2 linked regions of the Astyanax mexicanus genome follow. The protein of the gene in region 2 purifies or fractionates together with the protein of the main gene of each other region. This does not show direct contact. Links are inferred from orthologs where the notes say so. Each region holds a gene or a part of one and is shown on either strand. Other genes may lie near its edges. The genes, in order: arl2 and tubb5.

Region 1 (8,224 bases), on a different chromosome or scaffold from region 2:
TGCTTGTATATTGTGATTGCAGGCAAACTGGATCTATTTATCAAATTAGATTTGATTATTCACACTGTTATTTGCAACTGATGAGATCTGACTTGTATTGAGATACCACAAATCTATTTGCATGGGGTTGCAGTGATAAAAACACAAACATCAGTAACCACGCAGCCATGCTGGTGATGTGGCTTTCATTCATGGGAACAAGGGAAATGGTGGTGAATCATCATCTTTTCCAAACCGTTGTACTCTCAAGTTGAGGTCAATCAGGATTTGACGTGGTTGTTGTTTGGGTTGTTGTGAAATCTTTATAATCAGACTTGTGAGTCCAGACCTAAGCACATCTGTATGGATTTCATGTTTTTTTTAAACTATCAAGACAATCAAAATTGTGTATTATTATGTGTCATGACATTCTGGATCATTGACTTCTGTTATAAATCTGAAGAAATTTTTATTTTTTAATATCTCAGTTAGGGGTGTGCCATATCATATAATAGGCAATAATAACATTACATTTTTATTTGGTTGCAGTAGTGTATTCTGAAAATACCATCAAATATTGTGATATTATTTTAGGGCCATATCGCCCACCCCTAATCTGGATACAATCTAGACAGACCAAAAATTTGATTTGGGCTGGCAGTCCAAACAAAACCTTAAATCCTCCTAGTGTTTTAAGTGCAATGAAGAAACACTAACCTCTCTGATTGCATCCTTAGACAATGCACCAGGCAGATCTTGTTTGTTTGCAAATACAAGAAGTGTGGCTCCTGCTAATCTCTGGTAAAAAGAAACAAGAATGATTAGACAAGCAAGATCAAAGCAGACAAATATAAGGACAAATCTGAGGAAAGAAACTGGACATGTCTTGAGAACGTAATCCAGTACATGAATCGTTCAGTATTAATGAATAAACATTCTCACCTCCTCCAGTAACAGAGCACCAAGTTCTTTTCTGCAGTCCTCCAGTCTCAGTCTGTCTGCACTGTCCACCACCCACACCAGTCCATCTGTGCTTTCAAAGTAATTCCTCCAGTAGGATCGCAATGATTTCTGACCTCCTACGTCCCAGATATTTAATTTGAACCTATTTTCACATCAAAGAAAAAGAGCAGACAAGAAGGATGTATGCGTCAAGAAGCCATTAGTTGAAATGATACAACTAGACCACTTATGGCAGAGATGATTCATTAAGAGTGTCCAATCAGTAAGGTATTATTAATTTAACTAATATCTGGGTTGAGGTTAGTATAGCCATTTTATGCAGTTAATTACATTTCCCTACTATAAACATAGTCAGTTGTGTAGATGTTTTTGGTATCTGCAGTATTGTAGAAAATTATGAAAGATTCCAGTTACAGTCTGATTCAAAAATACAGTAGTTAAACTTAGATGGCAGTCATCCCATAAGACAACAGACATAAATCAAAAACATTTTAGTTTTAAAGTAAACTCATATATCAAGTAAACTCATCCAAAATCAACAATGATTTGATATCAAATTCCAATGTTAGAAAGATGTTAAATTTTGGTTACTTAACAACACATTAGCATATAGCAACATGAGGCATTAACATTGTGATACTCAGCAGATGTTGTGTTTTAAATCATCATACCTCACCATGCCCCTAAAAGTTGGTATTTTTTGTCAACACGACATGACATGTGAAGACACTTAATTTTGGTTACTCAGCATATCAAAACATAATCATCTACTTTGTTTGCTTTTACATGTCAGTATAACGTTGGGATTAGACATTTCCTCACACTAAATTTTTGTCAACTGATGTCCCAATCTATGTTCAAACAGACATTATCTATCAATTATGGGACCAGCTGGGATGTCTTGGCCAACTGACTAAAATATAGATATGGAGAAAATTGTAAACAGTGATGTTAAGATGTACAAGAAATTGTTAGAAATTCTATGCAAGTCATAGAAAAGAGTACAGTTCAGGTTCAGACATTACCCTCTATGTTCTAACGTCTTTATGTTGAATCCTAGGGTTGGAGAAATAGTGCTGACGTCTTCGCCATTGAATTTCTTCAGGATGGTCGTTTTTCCAGCGTTGTCCAGACCACTGCACTCATGGTTAAGGAGTCACAGGAGCTGTTCTCATGACTACAGCATGTTATTGGCATAATTAATATCAGTCCTAAAATAGAACCCTGTGGGTCTCCAAAAATACCTCCAGTTGAGGCATTAAGGTTAAGTGCATAATAAACCTCTCTCAAGAACAGGAGTTTCAGTCAGGTGTTTTCAATCAGGCATTGATTAGGCACACCTCTAGATCTGAACAGAACCACAACCAGCAGCAATTAAGTATACTTAGCTCCTTTTAGAGAGTTAATGTTGTCTTTGCAACATGGTGACGTCCAGGGAATGGTCAAAGAAGTCTAGACAGAGGGTAATTGTAATATTGTAATGCTGTAATATATTATGCTTCCAATTGTGTCTCTTGAATATCTCCTCTCTAGACTTCTTTGACCACTCTCTGGACTTATCTTACCGTGTTGCAAAGACACCATTAACTGTCTAGAAGGAGCTGAGTATCCTTTCAAGTCCTTTCAAATCTGTTTAATTGCTGCTGGTACTGTATATTTCTACGGGTGCTTCAATGCCTGATTAAAAACACCTGATGATACAATTTCCTATTTGATCTGATGGTGAACAGGATAAAATATAAATGTTAAACTTGCTAAAACACTTTACTGCAGTGGGTGTAGAATAATTTTGAACACAACTTTAATACCGTCATATAGCCGAGTCCTAATCCCAGTATATAGCTTTTGCAGAACAACAAAATATTGCTATGTCAGTTTCGTCCCTACTATTACACAGTCCTACTAATTAGTGTTAACAACCCAGCAGACAAATAGATAGATATTGTAATACTAAAACTGTCAGTACCAGCTTTATAAAAAAAGAACACACAGCAGCATCTGTCTACAGTGATAATGCTAATTCCTGAAGGATACAGCATCAGCAGGCGCATCTCCCGCTCCTTGTGCTTCAGCTTTCTGAGTATAGTTAATAACCCCATGGTGAACTCTCTAACCAGAACCGGTTACTAAACGCCGCCGCGGAAACTGGAACCCTTCAGAATGGTGAAATCACATCGCTGATGAAGCTCCTCTGTGTATGAATTCTCAGAAACAGAACATCTTCTGTTGCTCCCTCGCGCTACCAGCGCTTTCTCTGAATCCAGGAAGTGTTCTGTGCGCCGCTCCAACATACTCAAACCTGATTGGTCACCCGGTAGGACAATAAAAATAGTTGATGAAATTGATTGGTTACCTATCATCAGTGGTACCGCCCTCTTAGGGCAGACGAAGGGCGTGTCTGCAGTTTTAATTTGTTAAACCGCCGTCAATCACTGCAAAACCGTTTCATACCATAGACTGTATATAAAGCTATATACAGTACAGTCTATGGTTCATACAGACTTTTAATTTGAAAATCCTGAAACTATACATATACAGCTCTGGAAAAAAACAAGAGCGCTTTAGTTTCTGAGTCAGTTTCTGTAATTTTGATATTTATAGGTATATGTTTAAGTAAACCAAATAAAACATTGCCATTTAGAGCATTTATTTGGGGGAAAAAAGAGAAATGAAAAAAAGAGGTTTCAGACCTCAAAAAATGCAAAGAAAACAAGTTCAAGAATATTTTCATAATATATTTGGTTATTGATCAATCTGCATATCTTACTGGGTAAATAAAATAAAATGAAATTTACAAAAAAAACGACCTATGTCTTATTTAAAGTAGACTTCTACTCCTACATATATCATATATTACATTTAATACAAACACTGTCAAAATCTGCTAAATTAATAAACATACTGAGACAATTTTGTTTATAAATATAAGTTGTGCTTAAAAATAAGCTACAAAAATCATATATAAATATGTCTTAAATGTACTGTATATATAAATATGAACATAACTTAGTTTAATATGTAATTTACAGAGATATTCAGGGTCATTCTTTAAGATGGGTTCTTTTTGGATCCTTGCCTTTTTGGAGAAAATACCTTAAAATGATAATTTCATCTGATAATTGATTCATTGAGCCTGTGACTAAAAACACTTCCCTGTGGGACAGCTTATTGGACAAGTCTCCAGTTTTTAATTTAATAATTTATCCAAAATTATGCATTAACATTAAGATTTCATTAGGCTTTTTTTGTTTTTTGTAAAACATGCAGTCCAATAAACATTACCTTCATATTTCTACTTACCATCAAAATATTAATAAAGAACTTTCCAATAACAGTAACAACAATATAACAATAATAATGACAGGGCTAAAGGGACATCACACATTTTAATACAGTATAGTCACCATATATTTTTTAAAAATTATATATTTTTTTTACATAATAATGCACCCGATTTGGAGAATCACCCTTTAAAAGAAACAGTTATGTTAGTAATGTTACAATAATGCTATACTTTTAAATAATGAATAATAAGGAGTACAGTTTAGTTTAAAATATAAACCCCTAAATATATGAAAAAATCGAAAAGTGGTTTAGAAAATCAATGGTCAAAAACAGTTTCACTATTGTTAGAGGCATGTTAATGATAATGTGGTTAAACATGTGGGTTTGCTTTAAAATACTTAAACACTCCCTCTCTCCTGCTTATGAAGAGCTCACTTGTTTAGGCTTCCCTGGGAGAAGGTCATTTAAATACCCCAAAAGAACAGCAGAGAAAGGGAAAGTAAAATGAATATTGCTGAATGCAGAATGTTGTGTAACATTCAACTGACAGAAAAAGGTCAGACAGACCACTCCCTCATTTTCCAGGCACTCCCTGAGTACATACCATGCCTACAGGATGTGAGGCCATATATGGCGTTAGAAGGATATAGTTGGCAATAGTTGTGTTTAAGACAGAGGCAGACTGCAACAGAAGCAGCATATTTTTACTGAGTATCATTGAGATAGACATATCTGATGCAGATGGAGAGATTGTTCTGTTCTATGACATATGTGTGTTTGCTATTGCCCATGTCTGGAGGTCCTAAAAATTAGCACACCAAGAACTGTGCTCCCTATAATTGCCACACTATTAAAACTTCCTCAGAAAATATAGTAAAATATTTGGAAAAAGTTATTTGCCTTCTCTGAAGCCCAGTACTTTTTAACGAGTGTCTTGTAGGGGAAAAGTCGTGTCATGTGTAAATGAATGTAATAAGTCCATAGACAGCTTTGCATTACTGCCAATACCAGATACAGTGCTGTGAAAAAATAGTCTTAGTAGTCCTACAAACTACTTTTGTTTTTGCATTTTTTTCATACTGTCATGCTACATTTTCCAGATTATCAAACAAACTTTAGTATCAGACAAATATAGACCTGTAAAATCAAGAAAGCACTTAAAAAAGAAGCTTTCTATCAATGTGAAGCAAATAAAATATATATAAAAAAAAGCAACAAATCATGCCCCAATCTGAAGAAATTTAAGAACAGATGAGAAAACAAAGTCATTGACATCTATTAGTCTAGAAAAGGTTACAAAGTAATTTCTAAGGCTTTGGGACTCCAGCAGACCACACTAAGAGCTATGGAGAAATGGAGAAAACTTGGAACACTGTTGAACCTTCCCAGAAGTGGTTGGCCGACCAAAATTATTCCAAAAGGGCATGGACAACTCATCCAAGAGGTCACAAAAGAACCCAGAACAACATGTAAAGAACTGCAGGTCTCACTTGCCTCACTTAAGGTCAGTGTTAATGATTCAATAATAAGGAAGAGACTGGTCCAAAATGTTATCCGTTAGAGAGATCCACTTGCAAAAAAAAACTGCTGACAAAAAAAAACACAAAAGTCTATCTCACAGTTGCCCAAAAATACCTTGATGATCCCCAGAACAAGGGTGGCACAACCAAGTTATTAGGTTTAGTGGGCATAGTTTTTTTTCTTTTACTAAATAAAATTACGATTTATAAAGTGCTTTTTATATTTCCTCAGGTTATATTATCGTATTATCTTATTATATTATCTGATATTAAAGTTTGTTTGATCATTGGAAAAATATCAGTATGACAAAAAAATAAAAATAAAAAATCTGTAGGAGGCAAATCATTTTTCATGCTACTGTACATTTCTTGCTTAAAATGAATAGAATAGCATTTATTACTAATTAATTCTTTAATCTTTTACTTTTAGTATTGTTATTATTTACCCACCCATATTGTTATCTTCTTCTTGCTGATCAGGGACGTGGTGAGCCCAAAGCCTAACAGGAATCATTAGTTGAAAGCTGGAAAATCCCCCCAAAGATGGCAGTAGTCCACTGCAGGATACCATGAGTAATCGTTCATTCACACCTACACTCTTAAAAATGAAGATGCTACAATGAGCTTGTTGAACGATGTCATAGAGGAGCTACTTTTGATTCCATAAAGAAGCATTTTTTTAAGAGACTGTGAATTTAAAGAATATTGTTAAATATTTCAAATGGTTTTACATTTTCTCAATGTTTTATTTTATTTTTACAAAAATGGATTGTTATGGAACCAAAAATGGTTATTCTATGATTTCGCTTGAATTACTTGATATACCAAATTTATTTAGTAGTGTTTCAAACCCACTAAAGATACAACAGGTACAACATGTACTGTACAACTAATTAGTCCCCGGACATGAAATACCTTTAGTCCCAAATTAGCAATATTAGCCAGTTGATAACAATAGATTGCAATATTTTGTACATTCAAACACCACAGGAACACACCTACAGGTATATATTAGATAGAGCTGACACAAACAGATAGAAGTCAGTAAAAAAAACTAAATAATAATACTGTTAATATGTACTGCAGCCATCTTGGATTCTGAACTGGATTTTGCTGCTGAGGCTTTTCCACCTTCTGTGTAGGAAATCCGACCTCTAAGAATTGAAATTTCCCATTTGCAACTTGGAAATTCTGACATCTGAGGAAGGAAACACTAATCAAATTCTGTCCTTATAATAGTGAATGCTCTATTTAATGATGTAGAATTTCACATGTAGGGAATAGTGAATATGACAGTTTCAGATATGGCTTAATAGTGTAACCAACAATTTAGCATAGACAGTTCATCAGTTTATCTACTGTGTGTTTTTAGAAAGTGGGAAGAAACCAAGATACCCAGAGGAAACCCACATGAACTCGTGGACAACATGCCAAACTCCACACGGACAGTGACCAGAGTGAGGATTGAAACCCGGCACCAGGCCCCTGGAGCATTTTTAAATTAGGTCTTCTCAAATTACTGCTAGTTTACGCAATACTGAATAATGACATTCCTTACCAGGAATAGTTGATTTATAATGTCATGACTCTGAACTGCTTGGCTCTGAATCAGGGGGGTTTCTGACCACTCTGACATCACAGGAAACGGGCTTGGGAGAGTGAAAGTGTCTGCAGGAGTGGGCAAAGACTTGTGTCCTGGGACAGTTTAGAGAGGAAGTGAAGTTTAGGCTGATACAAAACCACACTCAGTTACCATAAGCAACTACAGAAATACACTCTAATCTGATAAAGGCTGGATAACTGATTTACACTGGATTTAAATGTACTCTGAATCTTATGACGACTGATGACACAAACTGTATGTCAAAAATTAATAATGTTAATTTTACTTTATATTTATCAAATTGTCGTAATACTTACATTCACCCCGTTGTAATAAAATATTAAGATAATATATATATATATATATATTTAGAAAAGTTACTAGTAGTCCAGCGGACTAAGCGCTTCCACTATGATCAGGAGATCGTCAGTTCGAATCCTGTTCATGTAGCTTGCCATCGGCCAACAGAGCCCTGAGAGCGCACAATTGGCCTAGCTCTTTTTGGGTGGGTAGATGGCACTCTCTCTCCTCATCACTCCAAAGGTGTCCGCTACACAAGGCGTCTGTAAGCTGATGTTTCGGAACCAGGTCGCTGCGCTTTCCTCCGAGTGCGCTGCCTACTCGGCAATGCGGCACCAGCAGCAGTTCGAAAAGAGGCGGTGGCTGACTTTATATGTGCTAGTCTTCACCCTCCTGGTGTTGGGGCATCGGTAGTGATAGAGGGAGTCCTAATGAGTGGGTTGGGTAAGTGACCGTGTACATTGGGAAGAAAGTGGGAAAATAATTGAAATAAAATTATATATATATATATATATATATATATATATATATATATATATATATATATATATATATATATATATATATATATATA
Region 2 (7,514 bases):
TGAGAGTAAAGGAAGAGTGGGACTGCAAAATGAGGATCTCAAGGTATAGAGGGAGTAATTGCTTTGAAAGAATGAGGACAAACAGCAGGGAAGTGCTGAGTGGCATGGTCAACTCCCATCACTTCCATCAGACCACGCAGGCAAAGCCCCACTGTCATCAGGAGCATCAATTAAAACTTATATAAGCAGCCAGAGTTCTGCCCTGTCACCACACATGCCTGTCTACAAACAGGAAAAAACAACAACAGCAATTAAACTGCTGCGTATTGTGATATGCATGACTCTCAGACTATTAAATGTCGGATAGCGTAGAAAGTGTAATTGGTATTGCTTCTTGGATTTTGTTTAATGTGTGTAATCATTGTAAAGGTCCCTCCACATTAGTTTAAAGTTACAATATCAGCAGTATCGCAACCCTCGATCAGATAGATATCACAAAATCAGAAGTATGGCAACCCTCACCTGATGATGATATGATTAGTTAGGTATTAGTTAGATATCAATATTGGAATTATTGCAACCCTCATTTAGTTAGATATTACAATATTAGTAGTATTGCAAACCCTTGATTAGTTAAATATGAAAATATTGGTAGTATCTTAATTCTAACTCAATGCTGTGAATCAGTAGTATCGTAACCCTCGCCCGGTGCTGTGATTAGTTAGATATCACATTATTGGTAGTATCGCAAACTTTTGCATGTGCTGTAATGAGTTTGATATCACAATATAGTAAACATTGAACCCTCGTCCACTGTGATTAGTTCGAAATCACAATATCTGTAGTATCGCGACCCTTGCCTGATGCTGTGATTAGTTAGATATCACAATATTGCTAGTATTGAAAATTTCGCCCGATGCTGTGATTAGTTATATATCACAATCTCTGCAGTACTGCAATCCTCGATTAGTTAGATGTCACAATATCGCTAATATCGCAACCCAATATCGGTAGTATTGAAACCCGGTAGTATTGCCCGATGCTGTGATTAGCTCCATATCACAATATTGGTAGTATTGCAAAGGTTGAAATTGTGATTACAATTGAAAATTGATAGATATTGATATTGATTCAGCTCATGATCAGCTCTGATGGTAGGCTATCTCCTTAACTAGGTCTTGACCATAGGCTGTGTTTTCTCTGGATGACCAGCTGGTTTTGGATTTTTCAGCAGGGCGGGTGAGACGGCAGTGATATGCAGGCAGGAATAACCCCTGTCTTTTTCCTCGGTTAGTCAGACTAAATCTGGTTTGAGCCACAGGCCTGCAGATGAAGCAGCTGGGAGACCCATTACCATCCCTCATCTTCCATCTGCTGGAGCCTGCGCCCCTCCCCACCCAAACCCGGTTCAATACAATGCCTGTTCACTCAAATACGCCCAGTATGTGGAGCCATTATCTTCATAATGAGATGGATCAATAGACTCTCTGCGTTTCTCATGAGCCCTTTATAATAAATTGCCATCCAAATAGTTATAACAGATATATAACAATGCACTAATGAAGCTGGCTGTTGTTGGCATTTGTATTTTTTTAGTGTATTAGTGAAACTATAAGGGGGTTAATAGCAGATTACAATAGATCCTCTTAGCTGTCTATCTACCATAGTCTGTGATTTGACATAGACTGACATTTTCAGCTTTTATTGTCCAAAAAATGTAGAAAAAATATGTAAAATAATATTGTTTTAATAAATTAAGAGGTTGATTATATTAAACTATTATTTATTGTGCATAATTGTATAAATATTGTTGAGTTTTCTCCAGATAAAGGTAGTTTTCTTTGTCAGTGGTTTTCTGTCTGTGTCGCCCCACCCTTCCTTCCCACTCTCATTCATCTGATCTGCACCAAATTTATCCATATTCACACAAAAATACAGAAAACGACGACTTAAAATGCAACAAAAACCATTACAAACAGATTATGGGTGAAAAAGACCCTTTTTTAATCTGAAAAACGTGCTGACAGCTTTTTAACCCCGCATTTGCCTCAGCTCCATCGCCTAGTAACGAAGCAGAATGCGCTAGCGAAGCTTTTTGACGGAATTTCCAATTCCTCCTTAAATTCTGCAGCAGTTCCATTCTAGGTCCAATTCCTCTCGCAGAGCGCCTGAATGGAACCGCTGCAGAATTTAAGGTGGAACGGGAAAATTCCGAACCAGACAATGTTAGCTTAGCTTTAGACAGACAGTGTGGAGCTCGCGCCACGCCCGTTAGCCGGCAAGACAGCAAGAGAAAGGGAGTGAAAGGAACCGAAAAGGAAAGGAAAAATCACGAATTTAAGATATTTATTTGTACTTTTTGAGGGATTCTGTGAGTGCTTTTTTGCTTTTTCATACAAACATGCTGCAATCATTTTTTTCACAATAATTTTTTTTAAATAAACTTTAAATTAATTAACTTATTCACTGAATGCGTGAATATCAACTACTATTCTGTTTTTTTGTCAAAAAAACATATAATAAATGCATAAAATACAAGATATAGTTAGATTAAGAAGTTAAACCTGACCTACATGTTGATCTGCATCTAACGTTAACTAACTAATACAGACAGACCTAGCTATATGGTTCTCTTAGATAATAATGGATAGAAGATACATTGCTGCATATATATATATATATATATATATATATATATATATATATATATATATATATATATATATATATATATTTATGCATATGGCTACATTAATATTTAAAAATGCATTTAAACATTTCTAAAGTAAAAAAAAGCTAAAGAAGCATGTTAAAATTAATATTTTTTATTGTTTTTTATATTATTGTGCAAAAAAAAAGAGCAGCTTAGGCCACCAGACCACCCCTCTGGTGTGGGGGTTTCATTGTCATCTTAAAGCCCCTTCAAGATGCATATAAGCATGTTTAAAGGCATGTTGGTCGTTTTTTATTCTTTTTTTTCCAGGAGAACAGTGCATATCCTCTTACCTTGGCACCGATCTGGTTACCGCACTGGCCGGCCTGAATATGAACGATCTCTCTCATGGTTGCAGGTGAAGTGCAGGAGTTGGGTCTCTGGTCGGATGTAACGGCGTGGCTCCGCTGTAGTGAGTCTGGCCGGACAAAGGCTTTATAATTCTGGATTCTCTCCAGAACGAGGCTCCGCTAGTAAGAGGGCGGGGCCGAGCAGCAGTGGAGCGATTTGATTTGACCGAGCGCGAGACGTGGGCGGGGCCTAATGTGAACCGTTCTCTACTAGTCTCTCTCTATATATATTTCTTTCTCTCTGCTTCTCTCTATTTCTCTCTAATTCGTTTTACTTCTATCTCTCTTTCTTTCTCTTTCTTTATCTCCACTCAGCTCATTACTTTTCTCTACTTCTCTCTCTACATATTTCTACTTATCCCTTATTCTCTCTAGTTCTCTCTTTCTTTCTCTCTAATTCTCTCTTTACTTATCTGTACTTCTCTCTACCTCTCACTCACATTTAATCTCTTTCTGTATCTCTACTTCTCTCTACTTCTCTCTATTTCTCTTTCTGTGTCTCTACATCTCTCTGCTTCTTACTGTCTTTCTATCTCTTTCTCTCTTCTTCTTTCTCTGTACTTCTCTATTTACTTTTCTCTACTTCTCAGTCTCTTTCTCTCTTTCATTATCTCTACTTCTCTCTCTACTTCTATGTCTTACTGTGTATCCCTGTTTCTCTCTCTGTCTCTATTTTCCCTCCTTCTCTACGTGTGTCTCTCTCTACTTCTCTCTATGTATCTCTCTGTGTTTGTCACTCTTTCTATTTTTCACTTTCTTTACTTCTGTTTATCTATCTCTGGAAAACAATAAGAGACCCTGAAAAATGATGAGTTTCTCTGATTTTACCAAATTGAAAACATCTGGAATATAATCAAGAGGAAGATGGATGATCACAAACCATCAAACCACCAAACTGAAATGTAAAGCAGCATAAAGTTATCCAAAAGCAGTGTGTAAGACTGGTGGAGGAGAACATGATGCCAAGATGCATGAAAACTGCGATAAAAAAAACAGGGTTATTCCACCAAATATTGATTTCTGAACTCTTAAAATATTAACTTGTTTTCTTTGCATTATTTAAGTTGCATTATGAAAGTTTTGCAAAAAAATGCTCTAAATGACAATATGTTTATTTGGAATTCAGAAGACATGTTCGTAGTTTATAAAATTAAACAACAATGTTAATTTTATCAGAGATAAAATCAGAGAAACTGATTCAGAAACTGAAGCGATCTATCTATTAGAGTGAATGTACATAAGAGGCACTACAGGGGACGCTGTTGTATTGTTTTGTGTGTGTGTGTGTGTGTGTGTGTGTGTGTGTGTGTGTAAAAGTGTGTGTGTAAGTGTGTGTGTGTGTGTGTGTGTAAGTGTGTGTGTGTAAGTGTGTGTGAGAGAGTGTGTGTAAGTGTATGTGTGTGTGTGTGTAAAAGTGTGTGTGTAAGTGTGTGTGTGTGTGTGTGTGTGTGTGCGTGCGTGCGTGTGCGTGTGTGTGTGTGTAAGTGTGTGTGAGAGAGTGTGTGTAAGTGTATGTGTGTGTGTGTGTAAAAGTGTGTGTGTAAGTGTGTGTGTGTGTGTGTGTGTGCGTGCGTGCGTGCGTGTGCGTGTGTGTGTGTGAGAGTGTGTGTGAGAGAGTGTGTGTAAGTGTATGTGTGAGTGTGTAAATGGGCGCGGCTACGTCTGTGTGCTATTCGCTGTGTTTTCTGTGCCGTGCTGCAGCTGCTGCTACAAAAACTGGTACTTTTAAGACTTTCCGCGGTTGCGAAACCTTTTCCACAGTCCACAGCTCATTGCTAAAGACCTGCTGTCGGTAAGAAACCCCAGTTTAACTACATTATTTAATATAATTCAGAATAACCGCAGCATTAGCGCAGTCAGGGGCTACGGTCGCCTGTTGGCTTGTTTACATTGATTTAGCTAATGGCTTTTGATGAGCTAGCCTAGTTAGCCTAGCTTAGCTAGCTAACAGAAACTTAACGTTACTCACTAACAGCACGCGTATAGACAGAGAGTAAAATCAGCAAACTAAATGTCCTTTTGAACTATAGGTTATGTATTTACAGCCTACCGCTGTTTAACATTATATTTCTGTTCCCAATTCCCAAGTTTTCTTCGTGTAATAGGTTGGTATAGTTAGCTAACTAGCTAACAGGGGTGTGTAGTCCAGGTCCAGAAAGTAAAAATCCACCCCAGGACTACAAAAACCACAGTTACCTGTTACCAGATTACATTTTGGTTCAGTTTTTTGTATAAAGTTATATATTGGATAAAGTTAATATAATAGTAGATTTATAAGGCTGTTCAGGTTTTTGTGTGTTCTATAAGTAACGTTAAGTATAAGTACTATTATAAAAAAGATAGATAACATATAAGTTACCTAGTTAATTTACGTAGAACAAAACTATTTTTGTCATATTTTATTTTCAAGCCTTTTTATGCTATTGAGATAATGACAATATGATAACATAACAATGCAATAAACACATTAAAGTTACCTTTAAAGCTGGGTGAACTGTTATATCTGTTATTAAAGTTAATTCTTCCGTTGGCATTGAAATATTAAAACGTTTAATACTCTGTACAATAAGTCGACAGCATAATTATTGCTCATGATTTTATGCGTGTATAAAAAAGCATTTTTATATAAAGCAAATTAGATCATTTTAAACGATTGTACCGAAGATATATTATTTTTATTTAGGTGTGTACCGACTCACCACAGCAAACTTACACTGTTATATCTGATATCTGTACAATAACTACTTTACACTGTATTAAATTGTTTTATCTTTAGTATTGTCCCATGAAAAGATATAATAAAATATTAATAGAAATGTGGGGGTTTACCCATCCTTTGTAAGATAATTCTATATGTAGCCTACAATATAATATAGCTCTGTATGATCAAAATCTTTTAAACTCTTATCCTTGATATCAAATATGAAAATATGTGTATTATTACACATTTGGTCTGTTAAATGTGGAGTTTTTTTGGCTGCTGTAAATGTTCTACATTGTTAAAGACGTGGGTTTTCTCAGCTTTTCTACTGTGGAAACTCTGAGGTTTAATCTCGCACGCAAGTCTGGACAAATCATGTGGTTGTGGTTTGTTGATTTTTTCTTTTTGTGTAGTTGAAATGAACTGAGGCGTATAGACAGGATATTATGGAGAGAGAGAGAGAGAGAGAGAGAGAGAGAGAGAGAGAGAGAGAGAAATGAATGGAGGAAGAGGGAGGGACTGCATGCCTTCAGCCACACAAGTGTCCAGAGAGAAACAGCTGCTTATCTAGTGAAAGAAGTGTCATGTGATTTGGCCACAGCTAAAAATTCACCAACGAGATATCCCTCACTCCCTCATATAGAGATTGATCTGTGGAATTTTACATGATCTGGCTCATTAAATCCATTGAATTGTCTTATAAAAATAGTAGTAAGTCAGCACAGGTGGATTTAATGTACAGTACTGAATTATTTTTCAGGTCTGATCCAGTATCAACATGTTCTACACCTGTGGTCCCAATGAGGCGATGGTGGTCTCAGGTAAGAACAAACCGTTATAGGTAGGAATTTATGGCTGGAACAAAAAGGAAATTTAATCACTTGTTCTATTTTAATAAATGTTTAATCGATCTGGTTTTTTTTTTTCATTCATTTTAAATCGTCTAGTTGTGTCTCCAGTATGAATGAAGGCCATGTGAGCTAATTTTTGTGAAAAATAAAAATAAAATCATCTGGTGATCTGGTATAACACTGCTTTAGTCAGGTGGAGGAGTGGAGGGCTGGGAGAAACTATAGGATTTCGGCTCTTGCTTATGAATATTTATACATGCAACACTGCGACACCAGGAGGCAGCGAGACGAACAACACTTTTTTGAAATAGTTTTGAAATAAAGACATTTTTACACTAATAACAGTCTTTGCAATGTCTTTGAAGGCATGGAAAAGTCATGGAAATTTATTGGTTAAAAAGTGTATTAGCCATAAATACAGCTCTGTAAAAAAATTAAGAGACCACTTCAGTTTCTGAATCACCTTTTCTGATTTTGCTTTTTATAGGTTTATGTTTGCTCAAAATGAACATTGTTGTTTTATTCTATAAACTACAGACAACATTTCACAGTTTTTAATGCATCTTGGCATCATGTTCTCCTCCACCAGTCTTACACACTGCTTTTGGATAACTTTATGCTGCTTTACTCCTGGTGCAAACATTCAAGCAGTTCAGTTTGGTGGTTTAATGGTTTTTTATCATCCATCTTCCTCTTGATTATATTCCAGAGTTTTTTTTATGGTAAAACTGGTAAAATCAAAGAAACTCATCATTTTTAAGTGCTCTCTTATTTTGTTTCAGAGCTGTATATTAAAATAAATAGTTTAATCATTAGATGTTACAATGTATGTTTGACTCTCGTTCTTTATCTGTATTTTCCTGAACTTTAAACACATTACACACTTCGGTTAAGCAGTGTGAACACACTCATGCTCAGAACGTGCCCTCAAAATCTGTGCTATCTCTTAATCAGCTGCT

Evidence for each region.
Region 1: the proteins of tubb5 (region 2) and arl2 purify together in Homo sapiens (co-immunoprecipitation; 3 studies listed by BioGRID and IntAct, counting the BioPlex papers as one, with this or other methods). This does not show direct contact. The link is inferred for Astyanax mexicanus from reciprocal best matches to the Homo sapiens genes TUBB and ARL2.

What each region holds. Positions count from the first base shown.
Region 1 is NC_064415.1:24,449,220-24,457,443, forward strand, and holds the start of arl2 (ADP-ribosylation factor-like protein 2), read right to left. Parts: upstream 3,225-8,224; 5' UTR 3,042-3,224; coding exon 2,977-3,041; intron 2,079-2,976; coding exon 1,968-2,078; intron 1,085-1,967; coding exon 922-1,084; intron 778-921; coding exon 697-777; intron 1-696. UniProt on the Homo sapiens protein: Small GTP-binding protein which cycles between an inactive GDP-bound and an active GTP-bound form, and the rate of cycling is regulated by guanine nucleotide exchange factors (GEF) and GTPase-activating proteins (GAP).
Region 2 is NC_064413.1:1,501,761-1,509,274, forward strand, and holds the start of tubb5 (tubulin beta-5 chain), read right to left. Parts: upstream 3,106-7,514; 5' UTR 3,004-3,105; coding exon 2,947-3,003; intron 1-2,946. Other genes in the region: flot1b (flotillin-1b), read left to right, coding at 6,483-6,525. UniProt on the Homo sapiens protein: Tubulin is the major constituent of microtubules, a cylinder consisting of laterally associated linear protofilaments composed of alpha- and beta-tubulin heterodimers.